Linked DNA regions of Caenorhabditis elegans. The protein of the gene in region 1 interacts with the protein of each later gene in a pairwise test. Each region holds a gene or a part of one and is shown in the gene's direction. Other genes may lie near its edges. The genes, in order: skr-8 and cul-1.

Region 1 (11,449 bases):
TGCTCCATACATTTTTCCAGAAACACAAACAACTTCTAACTATACACATTTTATTCACCGTAAAAAACACTATAGAAAAACATTTTAAAGTTCGAAAATATCTCCATTAGCAGCAACACAGGCCTCCAGACGCCTAGGGAACGAGTCGACTGTGGCGCGCAAGTAGTTGATATCCAACTCGTCCCATGCCTTCTTCAGTGAATCTTTCAACGAATCGATATTCCTATGCGGTTTTGAACAAGCTTTTGCTTCGAGGACACTCCATACTGAGTAATCCATCGGATTGAGATCCGGGGATGACGGTGGCCATTGATTGAAAGCGATGAAGTCCGGGAAGTTGCTTTCACACCATGCCTGAACGTTCTTGTGCTTATGAGCAGGCGCCCCATCCTGCTGAAAAGTCCATTTTGTTTTTTTGAAATGCTTCTTGACCCAGGGCATGAGTTCCGTCTTCAACATATCTAAATAGTTGTTTCCGTTAACTTTTATCCCTTGTGGAACAAAAATGAGTGGAGTCTTTCCATTAGCAGTGATTCCGGCAAAGACCATGATTCCTTTCGGGTAACCAGTACGCTGAACGCGGGAGTTTGGCTGAGTTTTTGCATAAACTCGATCATTTTGCGTATTAAAAGACTGCTCAATGCAAAATATCTTTTCGTCGGTGAAAAGTACCTTCCTGTGAGCTCCATTTCTGAATCTTCGGAGTAGATTCATGGCACGGTCTTTTCTCTTGATTTTAGCAGCTTCAGACAGAAATTGACAAGTAGATTTTTTGTAAGCCTTCAATTTCAAGTTGTTTTTTACCATTCGGCACAGAGAACTTTGCGAAATTTTCAATTCTCGGGCCATCGCACGGACCGACCGCCCGGAGTTGTGACGGAAGCGTCCACGAACTTTTTTTATCATCGCTGGTGTAGTGGCTGTGGGGGGTCTTCCGCGTCCGGATCTATCGGAAAAGTTGCCGAGCTCCTTGAACCGTGCAATGGTGGTAGAAACAAGTTTTTCAGACACTTTGAGCCGTCGAGCAATGCTCTTCGCCGCGACACCATTCCTATGAAAACGAACGATGGGTTCACGCATGGGTGACGCTCTCATACCTGCGAAAAAAAAATTATTTTTTAGGAAAAACGATGGAAAAATAAATGAACAAAACACGAAATAACATAATCAATTAATTTTGGCGGGGAGACCCGAACCACAGAACTTTCGCGCGCGCGCCTCGACTTACCATAATTTTGACTCACCCTGTAGTCAATTTCTTGACTTCATTTCCAGTGTCGTCGTATGCGAATATGAATCGTTTCCCATTTTTCATTGAAGTAATATCGATTAATTTTGGGTGCGCGTTGAGTCAGAGCACATTCTTATCCTTATTCTGTCTTAGCCATTCTTTCATTCTACCCAGCTGGTTCCCGGTGAGCTGGTCGTCTCTTTCTTTTCTCTTTTGATTCTCGGTTCAATTTTCCTCACTTGTTTTTAAGCTTATATATTTTCCGAAATTACAATTTAAATTTTCAGAATCTACCTAGTCATCACTATATCTGCTCCAGTTGCCGATGCTCCAGCTGCTGAAATCGTTTACAAGATCATTTCGAGCGATGGAGTTGAAAACAATCGAAAACTCTGAGCAATCTGATTGAAAATCTCGGCTACACCATCGAAAACATCGAGACCCGTGATCCAATTCCAGTTACAAATGTGAATAGAAAGACTATGGCGAAGGTTGCTGAATGGTGTGAGAAGCACAAAACCGATGCAATTCCAGAGGACAATATGAATGTTCTCAAGACTCTTACCATTCCAGAATGGGATCAGAAGTTCTTGAAAATTGAGGATGAAGCTCCTTGACATCAAGGGTCTCATGTACTTTGGGTGTAAAACTGTTTCCAACATGGCAAAGGGAAAAACAACTGCTGAACTCAGAGAGATCTTTGGAATCAATACGGATGAACAGGATGCTGCTGAGGAAACTGCACAGAGAGCTGTCGCCGAAGTTGTCTAATATTCTGATTGTTTCTGGATTTTTTTTTTGAATTGTATGTCGCCTTTAACAAAATTGCAAATCATTTTTAATGTAACCTAAAATTCCCCAAAAAATGAACATTTTCAACTTTTTCCCAGCATTGTTAGTATTTTACAATTCACTGTTACAAATTCAACATCACGTTGTGAAGTATATACTACATTAGTATTATTATTGCACAGCAAATCGGGGCAAATGAAATAACACAATTTGGAAGTGTGCTTGCTTTGTAATCCTACATTTCTAAATTTCGCCTGCCGCGTCTATTAAAAATAAAAGTTTTTTAAACTGTGTTTGTTCACTGATGTGTTCTGGTTTAAAAAACTAGAAAATTTTAATTTATTCGTATACTAATTGATTTTTTATTTAGTAACTCTGTAGAAGTTAGCAAAATTGGAAATATTACCCCGTTGCAGAAAGACTATAATATTTGGAGGCGTTTTTGTGAATTCACATAAATATTCGTTTGATGAGGATTGTTTTAGTCTTAAGGCAATTGAATACTACCCCAGTTTTATTTTCTTTTTAATTAAACCTTCAACATAGACATGTTCGCTCGGGTCTTTGTTGTGCTCTGATTACTATGAAGTGGACTAGTTTCAGTATCAAAAATTCCCCAAATTATACTGAGAAAATGAACATTTGGAATTTTTCATTTGGCGTATATCAGTTTTAGGAAAATTGCTTTTCAAAAATCAGTAATGTGAAACAGTAGAAGTTTTGTTAAAATTAAAAATATTTATGGTTGGTTCAAATTCGGCATGTGTCACAAAAAATGTGTTTGTTAAAAGAATTAGGAACAATTTCTTTGATAGAAAAGAAAAGACGTGCATCAAAAACAGTGATAAAAATTAGGCAACTTCAGCGGCAGCTCTCTGTGCAGTTTCCTCAGCAGCATCCTGTTCATCCGTATTGATTCCAAAGATCTCTCTGAGTTCAGCAGTTGTTTTGCCCTTTGCCATGTTGGAAACAGTCTTACACCCAAAGTACATGAGACCCTTGATGTCAAGGAAGTTTGAAGCCAGAATCAAATCAAACAAAGCTTCATCCTCAATTTTCAAGAACTTCTGATCCCATTCTGGAATGGTAAGAGTCTTGAGAACATTCATATTGTCCTCTGGAATTGCATCGGCTTTGTGCTTCTCACACCATTCAGCAACCTTCGCCATAGTCTTTCCATTCACATTTGTAACTGGAATTGGATCACGGGTCTCGATGTTTTCGATGGTGTAGCCGAGATTTTCAATCAGATTGCTCAGAGTTTTCGATTGTTGAACGGCTTTTTCACTCATTTTGGATACAACTCCATCGCTCGAAATGATCTTGTAAACGATTTCAGCAGCTGGGGCATCGACAATTGGAGCAGACATTATTGTAAGTAGAGAGGATCTGAAAATTTGAACGATTAATTGAATAAGATAAACAATATAAAACAAATGAATAAAAGCAAACGAAAAGAGGAAAAAACGACCAGCTCACAATGCAACTGATGAATAGAATAAACGATGAACAACTAAACAGTTGTGCACAAAATAAATCGATACATTTTTGTGGGAAATTGCCCAACCGTTGAGTGTTGACTGGTAACGATGTACGGTTGACAGATGTGATCGACTGGACGCAAACTCGAACCGATAAAATTTCAAAACAAACAATTGGAGAAATAACTATTAAAAATTAACTGTTACACCATTTTTTCCTTTTTTTTTGGGATGAAAAAATTCGCAAAAAATTTTCCCGTGGTGGAGAGTTGAACTCATGGAAAAAACAAACAAACAATTTAGTCACAGGCAACAAGTTCCTAGGGGGGAGGGGATGAGTTCAACTCTCCACCACGGGAAAATTTTTTGAGAATTTTTTCATCCCAAAAAAAAAGGAAAAGTTCATCTCCATATCAATGATGATGCTCCTGTCATGTACAGCTCACAATGCAACTGATTGATAGAATAATTGATGAATAACTAAAAATTGTGCACAGACTCAACGCGCAGACGAAATAGATTGATACTTTGCAGTGGGGAATTGCCTAACCGTTGAGAGATGACTAGGAAAGAAGTAATAAAGAAATTTAATCGACTGGGTTCAAACTAAAATCGCTGATATGCCAAAACTAAATATTGGAAAAAACTGTTTAAAATTTATTGTTTCAACACAGTGTTATGTAAGAAAATATCGTCAGCATAGTAGTTAGGATTAGTTGTACAGCCCTGCACTTTAAAACGACGATCTGGTGTGCGTAATAGAAAATGGTAGTAAAAAAAACCAGAAATGGGAAAAGAAACAGCAACATGGAAAAAATCAGAACACTGCTCGCCTTGAACAAAAAATTGCATAATGAAAGAATGGGTACCAAGCAATACAGAGTCTGCAGACGCTGTGCTAATAATTAATCGATGAACTGCACAATGGACAAGTCCCTGTGACTATCGAGGTGAACGAAGAACAGCAGCTAATACAGCTTCAATAGAGCAGTGTATGTACATTTTCCAATCAATAACTGATCTACAACGTAACCGATACGCTACATTTGCAGCGTTCTTGTCATATTCTGAATATTGTCCATTCGAAGAATTATTCTGTCGTTTGGCTCTCATCGCGAACAGTCGCATTTCATTTTTTCTCTCCTTTTCTTTATTTGTCTGATTTTATTTTAGTTTTTTATTTCCTTTTACCTTTCTGATCTTTTGAATGGTGCCCAACTACCCTTTTATAAAAAATTTTCTCTTAACGTTATTCCTCGCCAGTCTTCCATATTTTGTTACGATCTTTATCAATTCATATTTTTTAGAAACTACCCAAACTTCTAAAAATGATTGCTGAAGCCGCCGCGGTCGAAGTTCAAGCCAACGAGGCTCCAGTTGTTGCTCCAATCATGTACAAGGTCGAATCGAATGATGGAAAAGTGTTCGAAATCAGTGATGAAGCAGTTAAACAATCAAATATCCTCTCCAATCTGATCTCTACTTGTGCTCCAGAGGATGTTGCTTCAATGGATCCAATTCCAATCACAAATGTCACTGGAAATATCCTGAAGATGGTCATTGAGTGGTGTGAGAAGCACAAAGGAGAAGCGCTTCCAGTTGAAGATGACAGTGTTCCAAAGAATATAAATGTTCCCGAATGGGATACCAACTTCTTGAAAATCGACAACGAAGTGCTCTTCGACTTGATCGTTGCCTGCAACTACCTTGATGTGCCTGGATTAATGAATTATGGATGCAAGATGGTTGCCAACATGGCTATCGGAAAATCTCCTGATGAGTTGAGAATCATCTTTGCAATTCCAACTGATGAAGAAGATGAAGCTGCGGAGAGAGCTGCAAAGGAGAAGGCTGAAGCTGAGAAGAAGGCAATTGCTGACAAGGACGCAGCTGAACCATCAACTTCCAAATAACTTTCATGCTCTAATTTTTTCAAGTTTTTGATGACATTAATAAATTTGATTGTGATTCGACGTTTTTATAAAAATAATTTAAAGTTAAAATTACAGAAGATGTAGTCGAAAACATGAAAAATAGGATTACCTATAGAAAAAGAAAACCAACGGTTTTGGATTCATAATTTTAGGACTATGATAGCACTCAATTCAATTGTAGTTCAATTTTAATCATAAGAGTACATTACCAAACAATGTGCAAAACATTTGAATTCTTTTGTTAATTATTTCAAACGCTCGAACAATTATATTTATTTCTAAAAATCGGTTGTGCCTACATGACACGCCTACCTTAGTGTGACTCGTTTCCATGAAACAAATTTTTCGAGTTTTTGATCAACTAACACCTTTGGCTGCCATTACAATTTATGTAAATATGAATTTCAGATTTTTTTTTACTTTCAAGAAAATGAGGCCGAGCACAGAAAGAATAATACAAAAAAAATTTAAAAAAAGTTTTTATTCTGATAAAATCTACTGTTTCGAATTTATCGTTTCAAAAATGTAATGTTTCCAACTCTGTTGTTTTATTCCATCTTTTATTCAATTGAGCACAACAATTTGCAAGATATTTGGATTTCTTTGTTGAAGATTTCAAATAGTCAAACATTTATCATAGTTTTGGAATTTGACCCAAAAAAATCGAATAAATTTGAATTACGTGTAGTCTACAAATTGTTCGTTGAACATCTTCAAATCTTTTTGGCCCTTTTCGCGAATGTTTTTACAAAATATTACAAGCATTACTTTTCATTATTTCAAAGCTTACTTCTGCATAACGTTTGTATATTGGTTTTTTTTAAGGAATGTTCGTTTTCAAATCAACTGTAAGTAATAATATTACTAATAATTATTGAAACGGTTTACAGTTATATCGTACAACTTTAACACTATATCAACTGTTTAACAAATTCTAAGATTTTCTCTTTTATACGTACTAATTTTTCTTATTTTTTACATTCAATTTCAGTCTGAAATTTTTTTTTAAAAACTTATAATGACAGTCAAATGTATTTATTTACCAAAAACTCGAAAATAAAAGTGTGAAAGTTATTTGGAAGTTGATGGCTCAGCTGCGTCCTTGTCGGTGATTGCCTTCTTCTCAGCTTCAGCCTTCTCCTTAGCAGCTCTCTCCGCAGCTTCATCCTCTTCATCAGTTGGAATTGCAAAGATGATTCTCAACTCATCTGGAGACTTTCCAATGGCCATCATGGCAACAATCTTACATCCGTAATTCATTAATCCAGGCACATCAAGGTAGTTACAGGCAACGATCAAGTCGAAGAGCACGTCGTTGTCGATTTTCAAGAAGTTGGTATCCCATTCGGGAACATTGACATGCTTTGGAACACTGTCATCTTCAACTGGAAGCGCTTCTCCTTTGTGTTTCTCACACCACTCAATGACCATCTTCAGGATATTTCCAATGACATTTGTGATTGGAATTGGATCCATTGAAGCAACATCCTCTGGAGCACAAGTAGAGATCAGATTGGAGAGGATATTTGATTGTTTAACTGCTTCATCACTGATTTCGAACACTTTTCCATCATTCGATTCGACCTTGTACATGATTGGAGCAACAACTGGAGCCTCGTTGGCTTGAACTTCGACCGCGGCGGCTTCAGCAATCATTTTTAGAAGTTTGGGTAGTTTCTAAAAAATATGAATTGATAAAGATCGTAACAAAATATGGAAGACTGGCGAGGAATAACGTTAAGAGAAAATTTTTTATAAAAGGGTAGTTGGGCACCATTCAAAAGATCAGAAAGGTAAAAGGAAATAAAAAACTAAAATAAAATCAGACAAATAAAGAAAAGGAGAGAAAAAATGAAATGCGACTGTTCGCGATGCGAGCCAAACGACAGAATGATTCTTCGAATGGACAATATTCAGAATATGACAAGAACGCTGCAAATGTAGCTTATCGATTGCGTATTAGGTCAGTGAACAATTACCAGCTGCTCTTCTTTCAGCTCGACAGAGGACTTACCCATTATATTATCGACTGATTTTCAGCACAGCGTCGGCTGACTGCTCACTGTCTATAATTACCTATCATGTTCACTTGCATTCAATCTACATTATTTTCTTTAGTGGCAGGCACTCACTTTCAGTTTTTCCCTGTGATTTTTGCAATTCCGTACAATTTGTGTGTTGCGTGTATTTGGCATTTTTCCAAAAATCTTCCAACCATTTTACATCAGCATTATCATTAATATGAAGATGACATTTTATAAAGTTATGTTGAAACAGTAAATTTTTAAAATTTATTCTTCCAATTTTTTATTTTCAAATTTCATCGATTCTAGTTTTCTTCGAGTCGATCACATCTGTCAACCTTACATTTTTCCCAGTCATCCCTCAACGGTTAGGTAATTTCCCACAGAAATGTATCGATTTATTTTGAGTGCGCGTCGCGTATGAGCACATCTATTCAGTCATCCATCATTCGATACATCAGTTGCATTGTGAACTGGTTGTTTTTTTTAATAGTGATTTCTCAATTTTTCTCTCTCTTTTCTTTGAACCTTAACTTTTGAACCTAAATAGCTCATATCTGACATTTTCAGAATCTACCTAGTCATCACTATGTCTGCTCCAGTTGCCGATGCTCCAGCTGCTGAAATCGTTTACAAGATCATTTCGAGCGATGGAGTTGTATCCAAAATGAGTGAAAAAGCCGTTCAACAATCGAAAACTCTGAGCAATCTGATTGAGAATCTCGGCTACACCATCGAAAACATCGAGACCCGTGATCCAATTCCAGTTACAAATGTGAATGGAAAGACTATGGCGAAGGTTGCTGAATTGTGTGAGAAGCACAAAGCCGATGCAATTCCAGAGGACAATATGAATGTTCTCAAGACTCTTACCATTCCAGAATGGGATCAAAAGTTTTTGAAAATTGAGGATGAAGCTCTGTTTGATTTGATTCTGGCTTCAAACTTCCTTGACATCAAGGGTCTCATGTACTATGGATGTAAGACTGTTTCCAACATGGCAAAGGGCAAAACAACTGCTGAACTCAGAGAGATCTTTGGAATCAATACGGATGAACAGGATGCTGCTGAGGAAACTGCACAGAAAGCTGCCGCTGAAGTTGCCTAATTTATGGATGTTTTTTTAAAATTACGACAAATCGTTATTCCGCTGTTGACAATAATAAAGCTAACTAAGCAAATTTTACACAAACGACAAAAGTGAGCTGATGAGCCCACGGTGGGTTTATTTGCCTATTTCTCCCACATTCCACAGAGAAAATAAAGTTGTGAAAATTTAAATGTAAACTTAAAAAAAACATTTGGAGAGAATTTGTAATTGTTGCAATTTTTGAGACAACATCTTATCAAAAATTAAAACATTTCCTGTTTCAAGTGTTTCATAAAATTTTTTCAATTTTCAGATTTTCCATTGTACTTCTCCTTATCAGAGGATTCTAATATTTTTTAAAAAAATTTTATTTTCTGGGTTACTATTAATTTTCAAAAATTACCTATTTTAATAGTTTATTAATCTATATTTGTTAAAGTGTAGCTCAAGAAAGCTTTAAACTTATAAAACCTGATTGAAACTGCAGGAAATTCGAAAATTTAATAACAATTGTCAGCATGCATTATCAAAAAATTGTTGTTTTAATGTAAAGTGGCAATCACCAGCAAACGTTCAATTTCCAAATCCCTGAAAGAAAACTAACCAAATTTTACTCTGAAGTACATATTTTCTTCCTGCCTACTTGCCTGCCTGCCTTCTAGTCGAATTCTTCCTAATTCCACGTAAACATCAATTATAGTTTCAGTTGAATTTTTCTTAGTTCCCGAAATTTCATGAAAAAAATTTGAAACATATAAACTCAATCTCATTTTTGGTCGTACTGCTGATATTTTTTCTGTAATTTTTTTCAGACATATTTGAAACTGTAATTTTTTTTTCTTAATACTTTTAATTTTTGAAAACAATCCAGAGGTGGAGTATGGTTGACAGGAGTTCTGCTGTAAAATATAGAAATGGATCGTAACAAGGCAATTCTACTGTTTAAAAAATGTACCAGAAGTTTTCGATATTGCAAAAAAAAAGTTTTAAATTTCAGACATTTTTTTTTCGATTTTTAGAACAATTTTAGAGTACCAAAAAAGTTTGAAAGCCAACACAGATTTTTTGTTTGCGCGGGAATTCAAAAATTACTCAGTCAGGAATTTGAACTTTTTTTGCAAAAATGTAAAACCCACCATTAAACTGTGTACTAAAATGTAATGAAAGATTTCCAAATTTTTGAATAAAAACCACTTTTCAAAATAACATTACCACTTAAAATCCTTTAAAAAAACTAAATTTTCAAAAAGACAATTTTCAAGGAATGACATTTGTAAATTACTGTTTCAAGAGTTTTTAATTTGTTTAATTTTAAATTTCTTTTCAATACCTCTCTGATGTTTTCATTCTTGGGACTAAATTTAATTGTTTTGGAAAACTGATTTTCTTTTTTTTTGTTGATCAAATTTATTTTTAATGTTTCAGAGAAATTATAATCAATTATAAATAATGCTTTTCTAATAGTTTAACTTTGAGTTTGAAATTTTAAATAACTTAATTTTAATCTTAAAAATATTTTCACTCTTCCAGAAGCCCTCCAAAATCCCTTAATGTTTTTAAAATTCACCCTCCCCATCTCTTTTCGTGGTCAACGTGGCTCGTGACACCCTTTATCAACAAAATTTGTAGTGGTAACACCCGCTAATCTGACAGACATATTACTAGAATCGTGGACATTTTCGCGGAGACATTTGGTAAACAATCATCAGGGTGCAGTAAGAGGTGAATTGTAGGGGATTTCAGTAAAGGTTTTGAACGATTAAATAGTAGATTGATAGTAGATCATAGGTTTTCGGGTTTCTGGAAGCTTCTAGGTCAAGTGATCTTGTGGCTGACACACTTTCCGGGTTACGAAAACTAAACAATAACGTCGAGCACTGCTGAAAACTGGGTTGTTAGGCGAGCTATGCCTTTCCAACCCGAAAAATGTCGGCCGCTGAAATTGTTATTTACTTGAAAGCCCAAGGGTGTCTGAAATGTTTTTAGCGAACATTTTTGCAACTTAATTTGGATTTTGGATTTGAAAGGTTTTTAGGAATAAATGTATTATTGGGATTTTTTTTTTTGAAAAAAAATTTCCTGTTTCAACGTGGAAATTTAACAGTTTTATCTCAGAAAGACAATATTGGTAAGTCCATATACTTATCACAATTGTATTATGTTTTGTAATTTAGAAGCTTCAAAGTTGACTGATTTCGGAATTATGTGCCGGACACTACACCGGGCCCTAAAAATTTGAAAATGATAAAATCGAGCGCTCCAGGTAAAATATGTAGGTTTTCCAAAAAAGTTCACAAACGAACCCGAGAAATGAGGGCCGCGTTATCTTTCGCGATAGCGCTTATTACTTAACATGACAAAAAATCTAGAGACTTAGGCAAAAAAAAGTTAAGTTAATAAATTTGAAACAATTGTGAAACAATATTTTTTAGAATTTCAAAAATTATGGTAATTTTTTTCTGATTCTAAATTTTTTAAATTTTTTACGCGGATTCTGTAAGTTTATTGGATAGGAGAAAAACAGCAAAAGTATTGTCTCAAAAAGATTAAATATTTCTCAACAACGGATGAAAAAACACTCCGGAACAGAAAGTTTTGTTAAAAAATTTAGAGCTTATGTTTTTTGAATCTTTATTTAAAACATTATTTCTCGTATACTCATTTCATATTTACTTAATGTGTACTTTTTAACGTGATTTTTCACCAATTTAATGCTTAATCCCGGTCTACAGTGCATTTTTTTCCAACTTCTACGACTTTAAAGGCGCGCGCATTTTCTCGCAATGGTCTCGCCACGCGCATCCCATTGATTTGTTGAGCGCGTGGCGAGACCAATGACGGGACCATTGTGTGTAATTGAACTCCTCCTAATATCACATTTGCATGTTATTGTTAAA
Region 2 (14,747 bases), on another chromosome or scaffold:
TCCAAAAATTCTAAATTTTTTCAGCAATTCTATCATTCACAGTACCAAGGCCAGATGCAGCAAGCTGCTCCATACCAAATGAAGATGATGCCACAGCAAGCTCCACAGGGTGCCTATCAACAGAGATATCAGCAGCCACAAGTGTACATGATGCCTCCACAGGGTCAGCAGCAGCAGCCGAGATACCAGGGTCCTCCACCACCACAGCAACAGCAACAGCAACAACCGCAGCAACAACAATTCTCCGGAGAGCAAAGTCGCCCACAATCACATCCGAATAGTCAGCCAACGACTCCGGGACCACGTGGCGAGTTGCCAAAGATGAGCGGTGCTCCACAGGTGAGATTTCTTTTTTTTTAAACTTATTCGCATGTTTCCCTCTTTCAAACTTTCTGTGCCTAATAAGATGAAGCTTTTCAATATTGTGACCGTGACTCTATTTTCAGAACGGAAACATGCAGGCCGAGTCGAGCAGCAACGCTAGTCACAGCGGATCGACGAGCTCTCAGTCGGGACAACGAAGCGGATCTCCACCAGGTGCTGTTCCTCCACCACCACCACCACAGCAGCAGCATCAGCAACAACAACATCCACCACATCATGCTCCTCCACACGTCGGAGCACCACCACCACAGATGATGCAGCAGCAGCAGCAACACATTCAACAGTATATGGTGATGCAGGGACCGCATCAAATGCATCCGCAGATCCCTAATTACTATCAGCAGCCTCAGGCATGTTTAATCTCTCTCTTTCTTTCCTTTTTTCAGTGGTATTTTTGATTTTTGGTTTTCTTGTTTTTTTTCCTTTCTTTCAGAAGTTTCAGAACAAAATTGTGATTGACTCTGCTAAATTTTTGTAGATCTGCAAGTTCTACAGCTGAAATCGCCCAGTGAAAAAGGAGAAAAAATTGCCTAATGTTTTTTTTCATACTTTTTTTCTTAAAAATAGCGAGAAAGTTTCGATTCCGACTGTAGAACTTGAATGTGCCCAAATCAACGAAAAATTGGCAAATTTTAGCTGAGATCTCCTATTTCGGCAATTTTTCTGGATAGATTTTTTTTTTGAATTGAATTTTGAGATTTTATTTAAAATTACCATTTTTTGAGAAATATTTGAAAATGTCTCACACTCTATAAAAGAACAAAACCGAGAAAAAAACGTAAATCTAATTTTCAATCATTTTCAGCAAGTATTCTATCCGATGATAATGCCCCAACAGATGCCAATGCAACAGAACCAACATCCTCAACAAAGTCTTATGGGCGAGCGATCTGATCAAGGATTCCCGACGTCGGGATACTTTGACTACCGTACAATGCCAAACTATCAGCAACAACAACAACAGCAACAGCAACAAATGCACCGCCAGAATTCGCTTCCACAGCAGTTCCAAGGCAATCAAGGTAATGTTTTAAATGTTTATAAAGTTCAAATTTCTAACCGTTTATGAAGCTTTGAAGGTGTAAATCCATCTGGTCAACAATCTGGTCCACCACCACCGCCACCACCGTCTCAACAAGGCACACCACGTGATCAGCAGCACTCTCAGAGCCCCCCGTAATCATATCTATATGCGCTCTTCCTGCGCTTTTCAGTGCTTTATATAATGTTTCCCCAATATATATTCATTTTAATATTCTTATTTTCTTCCTTCTCTTCCTTCTTTTCATCAAAAATCCGCTTCTCCCCCCTTCCCCCATGCCACCATCTACAACAACCACAAAAATCTCGTGGAATTCCGAAATTCCGTCATAAACAACAAGATGTGATGTTCTAGTTTTAGAAAAAACCGTGTGTTCTTTGTATCCCCTCTTGTGGGTAAAGTTCACACCGCCAATACCTCCTCCTCCTCCTTCTCCCCACACAAATTACTTGTAGTGTCGGAAAAAGTACACTTTTCCGTACACGAAGGATCATGTCAAAATGCTCCTTTCACTTTTTATTCGTTATTTCTCTCGCTCTGCCTTCCTGATTATCCGTTTCCGAGACCGTCTTATTCTTTTTTTTTCTTGTAAAACCAAACCAATAATCCTTCCTTTTTTCTTTTTTTTTGAGCAATACCATCCCTCCCCCCACAACAAAATCTATAATTTATTTCCTTAACATTATTATCTTCAACCATCTCGCGCACACTACTCATATTCTAGTGAATGCCCCTTTCCCCCGTCCCCCAGATGTAATAAACATCAATTATTGCTCATTGTATTTTTTTTCACAAATTCATAGTTTCAGGGGTCAATCAGTTCAGAAATAGTTCAAAGATTGAGGATCTTCTTCTTAAAATGAGCAGAATCCGCATACGGCCAGATCTTCTTCGCCATTTGCATCTTCGTCGCCACCTTATAATCGTTAGGAGCTCTCTTCTCACTGATCGACAGAGCCGTGAACATCTCCTCACCACCGCCCTTCCCAAGCTCCCACTCGAATCGGCCAAAGAACGATCCACGGACTCTCTTGAAACCGGCAAAGCACTCGCTCCACAGGCCGAAATAATCCGGGCGGCTCTTGTATTCCAGTGTCTCCAGGTACTTGTGAATATTCGCAAATTCCTTGGGACACCCTTTCAACAAAGTTTCCATGGAGCATGCAATCTTCGCGTCCATAATCTCCTTCTCATCGGTCAGTCGGCGCCACGGGAGCCCACAATGAAGCTCGATGAGCATGTAGAGCCACGACCAGAGATCATCGACGCGTCCCTGCTCTTTCCGATTGTGAACGTTCATGCTGCAATAGCGAGGAGTTCCACGGAATAGTTGCTCGCCGGATCGAGCTCTGCGGAGTGCGGTCTCTCCGTTCTCTCGTTTGGCGGTGAATTGACGGACCATTCCTGAACGAAGTTTGGTGTGATTTTTGAATCAAAAATACGGTGCCGGGTCTCGACACGACAAACATGTGTGTTGAATGCGACGTGCACCTTTAAAGATTACTGTACATTTCAGTTTTTCATGATTCAGAGGATGGATCTGGAAAGTGTTTTTTTTTCGAGAAAAAACGCAACATAAGGAAAACAGTTAAAAAAAATTACAGTACTCATTTAAAGGCGCACACCTTCTCGCATCAAACAAAATATTGTCGTGTCGAGTAACGGGATCGTCAAAATTCGTAAAAATTTACCATAATCAATAAGATAGACGTTTTTGGCGTCACTCCCATGAACCCCGGTCACACAATTTCCCGGCTTAATATCCCGATGAGTGAATCCCACTTCATGAATCTGTTTGATAGCAAACAACGTTGCCATCGCGAGACGAAGAGTCGTCTGCTCACAGAATCTCGGAGTATTAGCATCCCGTTTATGAGCCATCAGATCCTTGCCAAGAAGAGTCATCACCATGAAACAATACGATTTTCGATCGCCAGCATCCATCAATCTTGCACAAAACGGCAGTGGAGCCAGTGATTTGAGCACGTGAGCCTCCAGCTTCAGAACCCCGCCGTCACTCACGTCTCCCTCGACTTTCATTGCGGCGTATGTCTGAAAGCGGGTCAGATCTCGTACTTTGAACACCGCACCCATACCGCCTTCGCCGAGTTTTTCAACGATTTTCCAACGCTTTGCGATTATCTGAAATTGAGGGAAATTGTGAATTTCCGGCTGAAAATGCTCAGAGAAACTCACTTTTCCTTCTGTGATCGCTTGAATTTCTTCCATACTGATTCTGACCACGAAATCGATTGAAACTGTGTAGCTAATAGAGAAATGTAGCTTTTCGAAATATTGAAATAAATTTAATTATTTATTCAATCCTTTTATGTATTGGTTTTTTGTTATTCACATTTTAAAATATTTTTTATTTTTCACGGCCGTTGTTCACCGATCATATGATTACGGTGAAAATTCTAAAACTATTTATTTCCTATTTTATACCAAATAGTTGCAACATATTCTGATAAATCATGTAAGTCTTGTAAGAATACAAAATGTTCTTAGATTTAATTAATGTTGTTTTTTCTTGTTATTCCAGGTACAGTATCTTTTTAAAGGCGCACGAACTAATAAGTTTACCGAGTCCCGCCAAGAACTGTTTCGAGTTTTACAGCGATTTTTGTTCATTTTTTTTCAGTTTTTGTCTATTTATTTGTGAAAGAATAATTTCTCCTCTTTTCCGCAATAGAAATATAAAAAATGATTACAGTTTTATGGGCTCCTGTTTAAAAAACCTAGTTCTACAGTACTTCGATTATTACTTCCACTAATTAAAATTTCCTTTGGGCATCGCCAGGATCGATGTACAGTTAAAAATCTGTTTTCCACCTGTTGTTTTATCGAATTCTTTTTTTACTTTTTTTTCTGCATAAAATGCATGTTTTCTCCAGTTTTTCTCGAATGAAAACGCGTTTTTCAACTTTAAACTATTAAAAATTCGCTTTCGTGTATTTTGCACATCGAAACACCTAAAAAACAAACTTTGCTATTGTTAAAACCTTAGAAAACTCCGCCCGTTCATTGCACAGCCGCTAATCATTCCCTCCTGTGACCTTTCTTTTCCAGATCATCCCGCCATCTCAGCTGTCTTTTGTGCACTAACAGAACCATTGTACTCACCAGAATTTCTTTAAGAATCGATGAAGACACAAGATGAGGCGTCTCTAGCTTGTGTCGCGCAGTCTCCGTCTCCAAGGGTGTTTAGCTCACTGAAATGGGCTCTGAAAAATCAACTGAAATTCGCTTTTTTTCTGTTCTTGGAAATTCCTGAGTCCCGGGGAAAATGAAATAGTCTAAAATTATTATTATTTAGGTGTCTTTCATCTGAAAATTTTCCAAAATTCACAGAGTTTTTGAAAATCTCCTGTTAAGAACAATTTAATTTATTTCCCCAGTATCACTTGAAAAGCTAGAATTATCGCTGGAACAATTTCCTTATGTATTTATTTAATTTCCCCTTTTCCCAGGCTAGCAAATTAGAAAATCTCCTATTTTCCCTCCAATTCCCAGTTAAATTTATCGATTTGCGGTGAGAATCGCGTCCGAGGGCAATCGATTTACTGTCTTCCCGCGATTTTCAGCGCGTCTTCTTAATTTCCAGTCGGAGGCTCACTATCGAGTCATTTCTAACGTCTGCTGGCTCACAAGTATCCCCATTCAGTGATGGCTCTGGATTTTCGTCTTTTTTTTCTATTCTTCCAGGATATCTATATTTCTCCCCCAATTTTGCTCCAGTTTTCCAATTTTTTTGAAAACATCTATTTTTCCGGGATCTCATAAATTTTCTCAATTTCAAGCCCATTATTTCCACCTTCGGTGACTTTTTCCCAACACATGATGATTTTGGATTGGAGCGCGTTTGCGTTTGGGCCCTTGTTTCCTCGTTCCTCTGTTTCTTGCGAAATTGACAAATCCCTTGATTTTAATCGACAATTATTTTTTAAAAATGTGTTTTTCAGTATGACAAATAGCGAACCGAGAAGAATGACGTGTGATTCCGAGGTGGTTTGGAAGAAATTACAAGATGGACTTGATGTAGCGTATCGCAGAGAAAATATGGCGCCAAAAGACTATATGACTCTTTACACGTAAGATTTCCCCCCGAAATTCCACAGAAACTCAATAAAATCTTTAATTTTCAGAAGCGTCTATGACTACTGCACATCGATAACATTGTCCACAAGCCGCCGAGACGGCGAAGACGGTCGAGCAGAATCTTCAACTCCAGCACGAACCGCTGGCGCGGATTTTGTCGGTCACGAGATGTACCAGCGTGTTGAGGAATATGTAAAAGCGTACGTAATCGCTGTTTGTGAAAAGGGCGCCGAGTTGTCGGGCGAGGATCTTCTGAAATACTACACAACTGAATGGGAGAACTTCCGAATCTCGTCGAAGGTGATGGATGGTATTTTTGCCTACCTCAATCGTCATTGGATCAGACGTGAGCTCGACGAGGGCCATGAGAACATTTACATGGTTTATACACTTGCGTTGGTCGTCTGGAAGCGTAACTTGTTCAATGATCTTAAGGATAAGGTGATTGATGCGATGCTCGAGCTGATTCGTTCCGAGAGAACCGGATCCATGATCAACAGCCGATACATTTCTGGAGTTGTCGAGTGTCTTGTGGAGTTGGGTGTTGACGATTCGGAGACCGATGCGAAGAAGGACGCGGAGACCAAGAAGCTGGCCGTTTACAAGGAATTCTTCGAAGTCAAGTTTTTGGAGGCGACCCGCGGATTTTATACCCAAGAGGCGGCAAATTTCCTGAGCAACGGAGGAAATGTGACAGATTACATGATTAAAGTGGAGACAAGACTTAATCAAGAGGATGATCGCTGTCAACTCTACCTGAATTCTTCCACAAAAACTCCACTTGCAACTTGCTGTGAATCTGTGCTCATCTCTAATCAGCTTGACTTCCTCCAGAGACACTTCGGTGGTCTTCTTGTCGATAAACGAGACGATGACCTTTCCAGAATGTTCAAGCTTTGCGATAGAGTGCCGAATGGACTCGACGAGCTCAGAAAATCCCTGGAGAATCACATCGCAAAGGAGGGTCACCAGGCGTTGGAAAGAGTTGCTATGGAGGCGGCAACCGACGCGAAACTCTACGTGAAGACGCTTCTGGAGGTTCATGAACGTTATCAAAGCCTTGTCAATCGATCATTCAAAAATGAGCCAGGATTCATGCAATCACTCGATAAGGCGGCGACTTCTTTTATCAATAATAATGCCGTCACTAAACGTGCCCCGCCACAGGCTCAGTTGACAAAGTCCGCGGAGCTTCTTGCCAGATATTGTGATCAACTGCTCAGAAAAAGCTCGAAGATGCCCGATGAGGCGGAGCTCGAGGAGTTGCAGACGAAGATTGTAGGTTTTTCTCGCTTTTTTTTTTCTCAAAATGGCGTAATTTCCAGCTAAAATTTGAAATTTAACCAACTTTTTGCATATTTTGGTTGTTTATTTCGTTGATTGAGGAACATTTTCGATCGATGAGTGCACACTGCGAAACTGATAAGTTGGCTAAATTTGAGATTTTCGCTGAAAAAAAAAAACAGATTCCTCTCCTTTTTTTCATATCGTTTTTCATACCGATTTTTTCATATCGATTCATATCGAGGCTTCTCAAAATTTCGAAAAATACGGCAATTTTCCCAACTTTTCAATTATTTACCTTTTTCTGACGTTTAAATGTGGCTATAAATCGACCTAAATCAACGAAAAACGCCAGTAATCAATTAAAAATCAATTTCCGACATACGGGAAAATTTGAGGTTTTATCTAAAATTGCCATATTAAAGGATTAAAAGATTTAAAATATTTCAAACCTCCATAGAAATGAAAACCCAATTTCTAAAAAGTTAGCTCAAAATTCTAAAATTTCTATTCCAGATGGTTGTGTTCAAGTACATTGACGATAAGGATGTATTCTCCAAATTCTACACGAAAATGTTCAGCAAACGACTTATCAGTGAACTCTCAGCAAGTGATGAAGCCGAGGCTAACTTTATCACGAAGCTCAAGAGTATGTGCGGGTACGAGTATACCGCCCGTCTCTCGAAAATGGTCAACGATACTCAAGTCAGCAAGGATTTAACCGCGGATTTCAAGGAAAAGAAAGCGGATATGCTCGGCCAGAAATCCGTTGAATTCAATGTTCTCGTGCTCAGTTCGGGCTCATGGCCGACTTTCCCAACGACACCAATAACTCTTCCACAGCAGCTGTCGAAGACTATTGAGATCTTTGGACAATTCTACAATGAGAAGTTCAATGGACGTCGGCTCACGTGGGTTTACTCGCAGAGTCGTGGAGAGATCACTTCTACAGCTTTTCCCAAGAAATATGTGTTTACTGTAAGTTTAAACGTGGAATTTCTATCTAAAAATATTTTTTAAAAATCCGGAAGAAAATGCCTGAAAAAAGTCCAAAATTTTACTATCTGCCACCCAGCTAAAATTTGAATTTTCACTTGGATTTTATCGAATAACAGCTAAAAACCTAAAATTTTCCAGGCCACAACTGCTCAAATGTGCACAATGCTTTTGTTCAACGAACAGGACTCGTACACTGTCGAACAAATCGCCGCTGCCACAAAAATGGACGAAAAGTCAGCACCAGCCATTGTCGGCTCTCTCATCAAAAATCTTGTGCTCAAAGCGGACACAGAACTCCAAAAAGAGGATGAAGTACCGATGACGGCGACCGTAAGCCTCAACAAAGCCTACATGAACAAGAAAGTTCGTGTCGATTTGTCAAAATTCACGATGAAGCAGGACGCCGTGCGTGATACGGAAAATGTGCAGAAAAATGTTGAGGAGGATCGGAAGAGCGTGATTAGTGTAAGTTTTTGATGAGAAATCGGCGGTTTTGGAGAGAAAAATTCAATAATTTCAGGCTTGCATCGTAAGAATCATGAAAACTCGCAAACGTGTACAGCATCAGCAGCTTATGACAGAGGTTCGTTTGGAAATTTCAAATTTTCGAAAAAAATCGATAAAATCTACGTGGAAATTTAATTTTAATGAACTTTCGAAAAAAATCTGATTATGGAAAAACGAGTTTTTCATAATTTGTTGATAAAATCTACGTGGAAATTCAAATTTTCTATACATTTTCGTAAAAAAAACGCGTCGAAATTCGAATTTCTTATGAAATTTCGATAAAATTCTCTTGGAAATTCAATTTTCAAAAAAAAAGTTCACCTGAAATTGGTAGAAACTCTGTAAAAATTGAAAAAAAAATCTTCAAAATTTTCGAGCTTTCGTAGTGCATTTTCAACACAAAATTCTGAAGAAATAAATTAAAACCCCTAAAATAAAAGATGATATCCACGTGGAAAATCAAGTTTTCCATGAAATTTGAAAAAAAAAAATCACCGGAAAAATCGAATTTTCTTTGAAATTTTAAAAAACTCCACTTGGAAATTCAAAGAAAAAACATCTAAAACCCTCTAAATATGATATTTTTGCAGGTGATCACACAACTTTCCGGTCGATTCAAGCCAAAGGTTGAAATGATCAAGAGATGCATTGGATCACTCATCGAAAAGGAATATATGCTCCGTACAGAAGGACAAAAAGATCTCTATGAGTACCTCGCCTAATTCATTTCATTTTAAATATTCTATTTTCTCTTTTAAAAACTATTTTTCCCCTTTACTTTTTTCGCCCAGTTTTATTCTCCACCCTCTTCTTCCCTTCATATCCGTGTTTTTGAAAACTTCAACACCATCTGTATTCTATTACTTATTCTCCTCTCCAAGTCCCTCCTTATTCGATTGTTCTTCTTTACAGAAGCGGGTCCTGGCTTCATTTTGCGCTCTCTGGTAAATGGTCCTGGGTTTTGTAAATCGTTTGTGTGTAGAATATTCGAAAAACCGTATACTCGGTAAACCTTTTTGATTTTTTTTCGTCTTTTTTCGGAAAAATTAAAAAAAAATTCAACTTCCAAGTGAATTTTTCAGTTTTTTCAAGGCCAAATGCAAAAAGGTGAGTAGTCACTTGAACCACAGACAACAAAAAAATCGATGACGAATTATTACAACAAGACAATTTGGATGAGACACTACTGCTGCTCTGACCCCTCCGTCTGTTCACCAGATGCACTTTTTCCCACTGCTCTGAGTCTTCACACTAATGCTTTGCTCAGTCTTCTCTGTTTATAGACTACTATTTGAAGGCTAACTTTCCACGTTGCGTTGACCGGGAAATTTGAATTTTCAGTTGTTTTTTATTACACAGTCGCGAAATTTTCCGTACCCGGTCTCGACGTGACAAATTTTTGCTAAATGTGAAAAGGTGTGCGCCTTTAAAGAGTACTGTAATTTCAAATTTTCGTTTTTGTGTAATTTTCTTCGATTTTTTTAAAAAGTTTTACTTTAAACATTTGTTTATTTCAAAAATATAACAGTAAACGTACATAAATTTCAGCAAAAATTGTGAGAAAAACTTTGAAATATCGATTAAAATTTCGCTGAAACGAAAGTTTGATATTACAGTACTCTTTAAAGGCACACATCCTTTTGCGTTTAACGAAAATTGTCGTTTCAAGACCGGGATATCTTATTTTTTGGCGTAAAAATCGCAATTAGAAATTCCAATCTTCACTGTATAATGGAAACTTTAAAAAATTCTACTATTCTAATATTTTTTAGAACTTTTTTGAAAAAAATCGATAAAAAGTTTCCAGAATCCCTTCACAAAATATATGACCGAATTTCTACACTGCTTATTACTCTTCCACGTGTTTCTGAGCTCGTGGGCTCTATTTCCGGGAGCTGAGCCAGATGAGGGAGACGTTCGGCACATTTATCCGCCGGTGTATATAGGGGTTGGGCTCGGTGAGCACGCCCACGCAATTCCATACTTTTTGGGTTGGCTGGAGAATTTGGATTATCCAAAGGATAGGATTAAAGTGGAAATTTTCATTTTAAGCAAGGAAGATGCGACGATTCATCAGGTTAAATGGTTGGTTTAAAGGCGCATAACTTGCAAACCACAGGAACATGGATTAAGCTTAGTCTTAGGTTTAGGCGTAGGCGTAGGCTTAGGCTCAGGCTTTGGCTTAGGCTTAGGCTTATGCCCATGCGTAGGCTTAGGCGCAGGTTTAGGCTTGGCGTCAGTGGCGAGCGTTAGCTGACGCTATTTAGGCTTGGGTTTATAGCGTTTTTTCATTTTTCAAAGGGTTCCCGTTGGCCGATCAAAGCGAAATTTAACAGAGAGTCGTATAGGCCACCAAGAAGCTTAAGTCTGAAGTTTCAAATTGATTCCATCAATTAGGCTTAGGCTTGGGCTTGGGCTTTGGCTTAGGCTTAGGCTTATGCTTATTCGTAGGCTTAGGCTTAGGTATAGACATAGACTTAGGCTTAGCCTTAGGCTTAAGATTCGGCTTAGGCTTACGCTTAAGCTTAGGCTTAGTCTTAGGATTTTGCTTAGGGTTAGGCTTAGGCTAAGGTTTAGGCTTAGGCATAAGATCAGGCTTAGGCTCAGGCGTACGCTTAGGCTTAGGTTTACGCTTAGGCTCCTTAACTTCGTGCTCCTGCAACTTTTTGAAAAAACTGCTGAAAAAAAATGGCAACGAACAAATTGTAGCATGGAAAATATTTTGTCAGATAATTTTCCAAAAAACGTAGTTTTCAGGTGGCTAGACTCTACAAAACAATACTTCAAATCTGTCAAAATAATCGAAGAATCAGAAAATTGGCTGGAAAGCGGATTGAGGAATGCGAGACTTCAAAAAGTTGAACGTTGTCTTCTTATTTCAGGAGATACAGTTCCAACTGAGATGAATTTGATTCAGGTGAGAAATAGGTAACAAATTAGATTTGCGCGTCAAATATGGTGCATCGTTTGACGGAATTTGCTAAGAAAAACTCAAGTGATGGTGCATTGAAGATGGCTTCAGCACATATTTTAGTTGTGGACTAAATGCACCATATTTGACGCATCTCCAACAATTTTCAAAGTCTAAATTATAGTTAGTCTGTATACATATATCTAGTTTTGACAAGTCTAAATTAAAAATTGGAAAGTTTCAGATTTAAAAAAAATCGAATATATATTTTTTTAAATCCAGTTCCAAAAGTTTCAGTTTCTATTCAACGAAAAAACCCACGTGGCAGTATCCCCACTTTTCCAATCAATAGATGGATCCTCCAACATCGATGAACCTTCTGAAACCCTCATAAATCAAAATAATGTTCGCGAAGAAATTCTGTCATTTTCACTTCCATTGGCAATTGATTTGACAACTATTGATTCATCTTATCTAACATTTGATAAGGATAATCTTCCAAATTATGAAGGTGCCGATGATCCGTCGGAAGTTTTTGTGGTGTCTGCCAAGAATATGGGTATACAGTTATGGGCTGACAATCAAGTCAATTATGGATTTTTTGTGAATCCGGAGAAGGATATTGAAGAGAGAAGAAGCACGATTCGATATCAAATTGCGGATTTTTTAGCCGATGAGCGGCCACTTCCATTTGTTTCCAGAAGTGTGAGACCATGGCAATCAGAAGCCACGAAGCAGGGTGTTGATAAGTGAGTATATCATATTTGACGTGGAAAATTTGAAAGTTAGAAGAACATATGATTAGAAACATTTATTTTTGCGGCTTTGCCACCAATACTTAACGAGACCCAAACTATTAATTTTTCAAAAGTATTAATTAACATACTAGTGTGTTGCACCAAGGCGATGTGTGAAACCATCAATACCTATGCACCATATTCAACTTATCAATTTGATCTACCTAAAAGTAATCTTTTTTACAGAATCTACTTGGTAAACCTGAAACGCCGACAGGAACGTCTCAACAGAATGCAGAAAATCTTTGATATTCTTGGAATCGAATATTCTCTTCTAGAAGCTACCGATGGACAAAAGCTTGATGAGCTGCCGGAAGAGCTAAAAAATTATCAGATACTGGAAGGATACCTAGACCCAATTAGTAAAAGGCCCATGAAAAATGGAGAAATTGGATGCTTTTTGAGCCATTACAGGTGGGAGAGAACAACTTATGTAACAATTGAAAATGTCAAAAAATGCTTTAAAGTTTTAAAATTTTTAATCGATGCACTATGTTTTGTGTTCATGAAACACGAACTATTTTAAATAATGTTTTTTTGGAACATTGTCAAAAAAAGATAAATAACTGGGAAAAACCAGAAATGCGACGAAATTTTGAAATATTTAAATCAAGAGCTATGTTTAATAGGACAAATTCTACACTACTTTTTTGACTCCAAACAATTTTTTCGTAAAATATAGTATACATTTTGGCCTAGTCTCGGAATTCCAACTTTTGTACTCGATGCACCATTTTCTTCTCAAAATTATGTACTTTTTTGGAAAAAAGGCATTTTCTGCATTGTCATGAAAAGTTGAAAAGTAAAAATGAACAAAACTGATTAAAACAAAAAAACCATCGAAATTTTCTTCCAGAGTATGGCAAGACGTCGTTCAACACAACTACGAGAAAGTGATAGTTTTCGAGGATGATCTCCGATTTTCACACGACGGTTTGACCAGAATTCGGGAGGTTCTTCAAGATCTAGACGCTTCACATAAGCCGTGGGATTTGATTTATTTGGGACGGAAAAAGCAATCTGAAAATGAAGAATTATGGATTTCACAGCACAGACATTTATCGTCTGTTGAGTATTCATATTGGACACTAGGTTACATGTTATCTCTCAATGGAGCGCGGAAGCTTCTGAGACCGAATCCGTTGAAGAAGATGGTTCCAGTTGATGAATACTTGCCGATTATGTTTAATAAACATCCAAATAAGGTAAGCCTGAAAATTTGCGCAAGAATATAAACACTTTAATGACTTTCGATAATATTTGGAAAATCCAAATATATTTTGAAAAACCGATAACATATGGAAAAGTCATACCTACATACCTACATACCTACATACCTACAGACCTGCATGTCTACATACCTACATACCTACATACCTACATACCTGCCTACCTACCTACATACCTATTGTTTTCAGGATTGGTCGTTACACTTCGAGCCCCTCGACGTTGAAGCTTTCACCCTTTACCCATTAGTCGTATTCCCTCAAAAATACACAAATGAGCCTGGTTACGTGTCCGACACTGAAGATTCCGTCATTGTGACACCGAAACCTAAAAGCGAGGAATTGTGATTTTATTTAAATTTTGTTTAAATTCTATTTATTTCTTGTTATTCATCATTTTTGTGTGGGTGTCTTTCTCTTTCCCATCCAAAAATGTTCGGTTTTCTCGAAGTGGGTTTTATTCAGTTTTAAAAATGCGCGCATTTGTACCGTGCGGGTCTCGCAACGAAAACTTTAACAAGTAGAAAATATTCGGTATTTTCACGAATTATTGATAATTATTCCATCGATTTTTAAAATGAAAATTCGATATTTTCCAAGGACCTACTTAAACAATGCGTGCGCCTTTAAACTTCTGTTGTTAACTACTTACCATTTTGTTTATTGAATAAAATTCCTTGAATTTTACAAAATTTTCAATTTAACTTTCACTTAATTGTCCACCACGCTCAACTCAAAATACCTCTCAACATTTTTCAAGGAAAATCTCAAAAAATTGACCAAAAATATGAAAAAAGAGTGGCAGAGTATGGGATGTGTGACGTCAAAGGTACCGGATATTGTCGGCGAAGGATATCATCTCAAAGTTCGGAAAACTGTAGCAGTTGGCGGTTCGGCAAAGGTTTTCAGCGATATTTTCTGATTCTGAAAAATTAAATTTTTCAGATTATGGAAGTAGACCCAGGGGGAGGGAAGAAGCCGATGATTGTCAAGAAAATGGTGGCGTTTTCGAAACGAGAAGAGGAGCGAATTCTTCTGGAAGTGAGCTTCATAGTTTTTAAATTTGGACTTTTAAAATTTAGATTTAAAAAAAAATATTTTTCGCAATTTACTTCACAGTAGGGCTCCAACCTGCCCGCCTGCCTCTCGCCTTATATCAGGCGCGGCATGGAAGCCCTCCTTTACAGAATATTATAGATTTTTCAGGAAATTATAGATTTTTACAAAATTATCAATTAAAAAATATTGGGTTCACAGATTTACACCTAAAATTTATCGACTTTTTTCAGATCGATTTGTACAAAAAGCTGGAAAACAATGAATTTGTAATCGATCTTATGGCCCATATTGTGGATGATATCACCCATTATCTCCTATTTGATAAGTACTCGCAAAACTTTTTGGAATATATTGAAGAGTTGAAGATTGGCGGAGAGGTTGATGAGCTTAAGGTGAGGTTGTAAGAAATTGGAAATTTATTGATTTTTCCAATGAAAAAT

Evidence for each region.
Region 2: the proteins of skr-8 (region 1) and cul-1 interact in a two-hybrid assay, tested with the Caenorhabditis elegans proteins (2 studies listed by BioGRID).

What each region holds. Positions count from the first base shown.
Region 1 is NC_003282.8:17,159,218-17,170,666, reverse strand, and holds skr-8 (Skp1-related protein), read left to right. Parts: upstream 1-4,832; coding exon 4,833-5,417; downstream 5,418-11,449. Other genes in the region: skr-12 (Skp1-related protein), read right to left, coding at 2,875-3,393; skr-9 (Skp1-related protein), read right to left, coding at 6,510-7,094; skr-13 (Skp1-related protein), read left to right, coding at 8,052-8,570.
Region 2 is NC_003281.10:10,465,849-10,480,595, forward strand, and holds cul-1 (Cullin-1), read left to right. Parts: upstream 1-5,388; 5' UTR 5,389-5,389; coding exon 5,390-5,517; intron 5,518-5,571; coding exon 5,572-6,802; intron 6,803-7,324; coding exon 7,325-7,786; intron 7,787-7,945; coding exon 7,946-8,272; intron 8,273-8,327; coding exon 8,328-8,390; intron 8,391-8,904; coding exon 8,905-9,036; 3' UTR 9,037-9,281; downstream 9,282-14,747. Other genes in the region: atx-2 (Sm domain-containing protein), read left to right, coding at 25-339, 447-738, 1,194-1,406, 1,464-1,564; D2045.5 (non-specific serine/threonine protein kinase), read right to left, coding at 2,259-2,830, 3,118-3,568, 3,623-3,655; D2045.9 (Glycosyltransferase 25 family member), read left to right, coding at 10,140-10,399, 11,072-11,231, 11,523-11,974, 12,209-12,436, 12,879-13,227, 13,441-13,596; D2045.7 (non-specific serine/threonine protein kinase), read left to right, coding at 14,036-14,149, 14,194-14,289, 14,538-14,699. UniProt on the Caenorhabditis elegans protein: Probable core component of multiple cullin-RING-based SCF (SKP1-CUL1-F-box) E3 ubiquitin-protein ligase complexes which mediate the ubiquitination and subsequent proteasomal degradation of target proteins.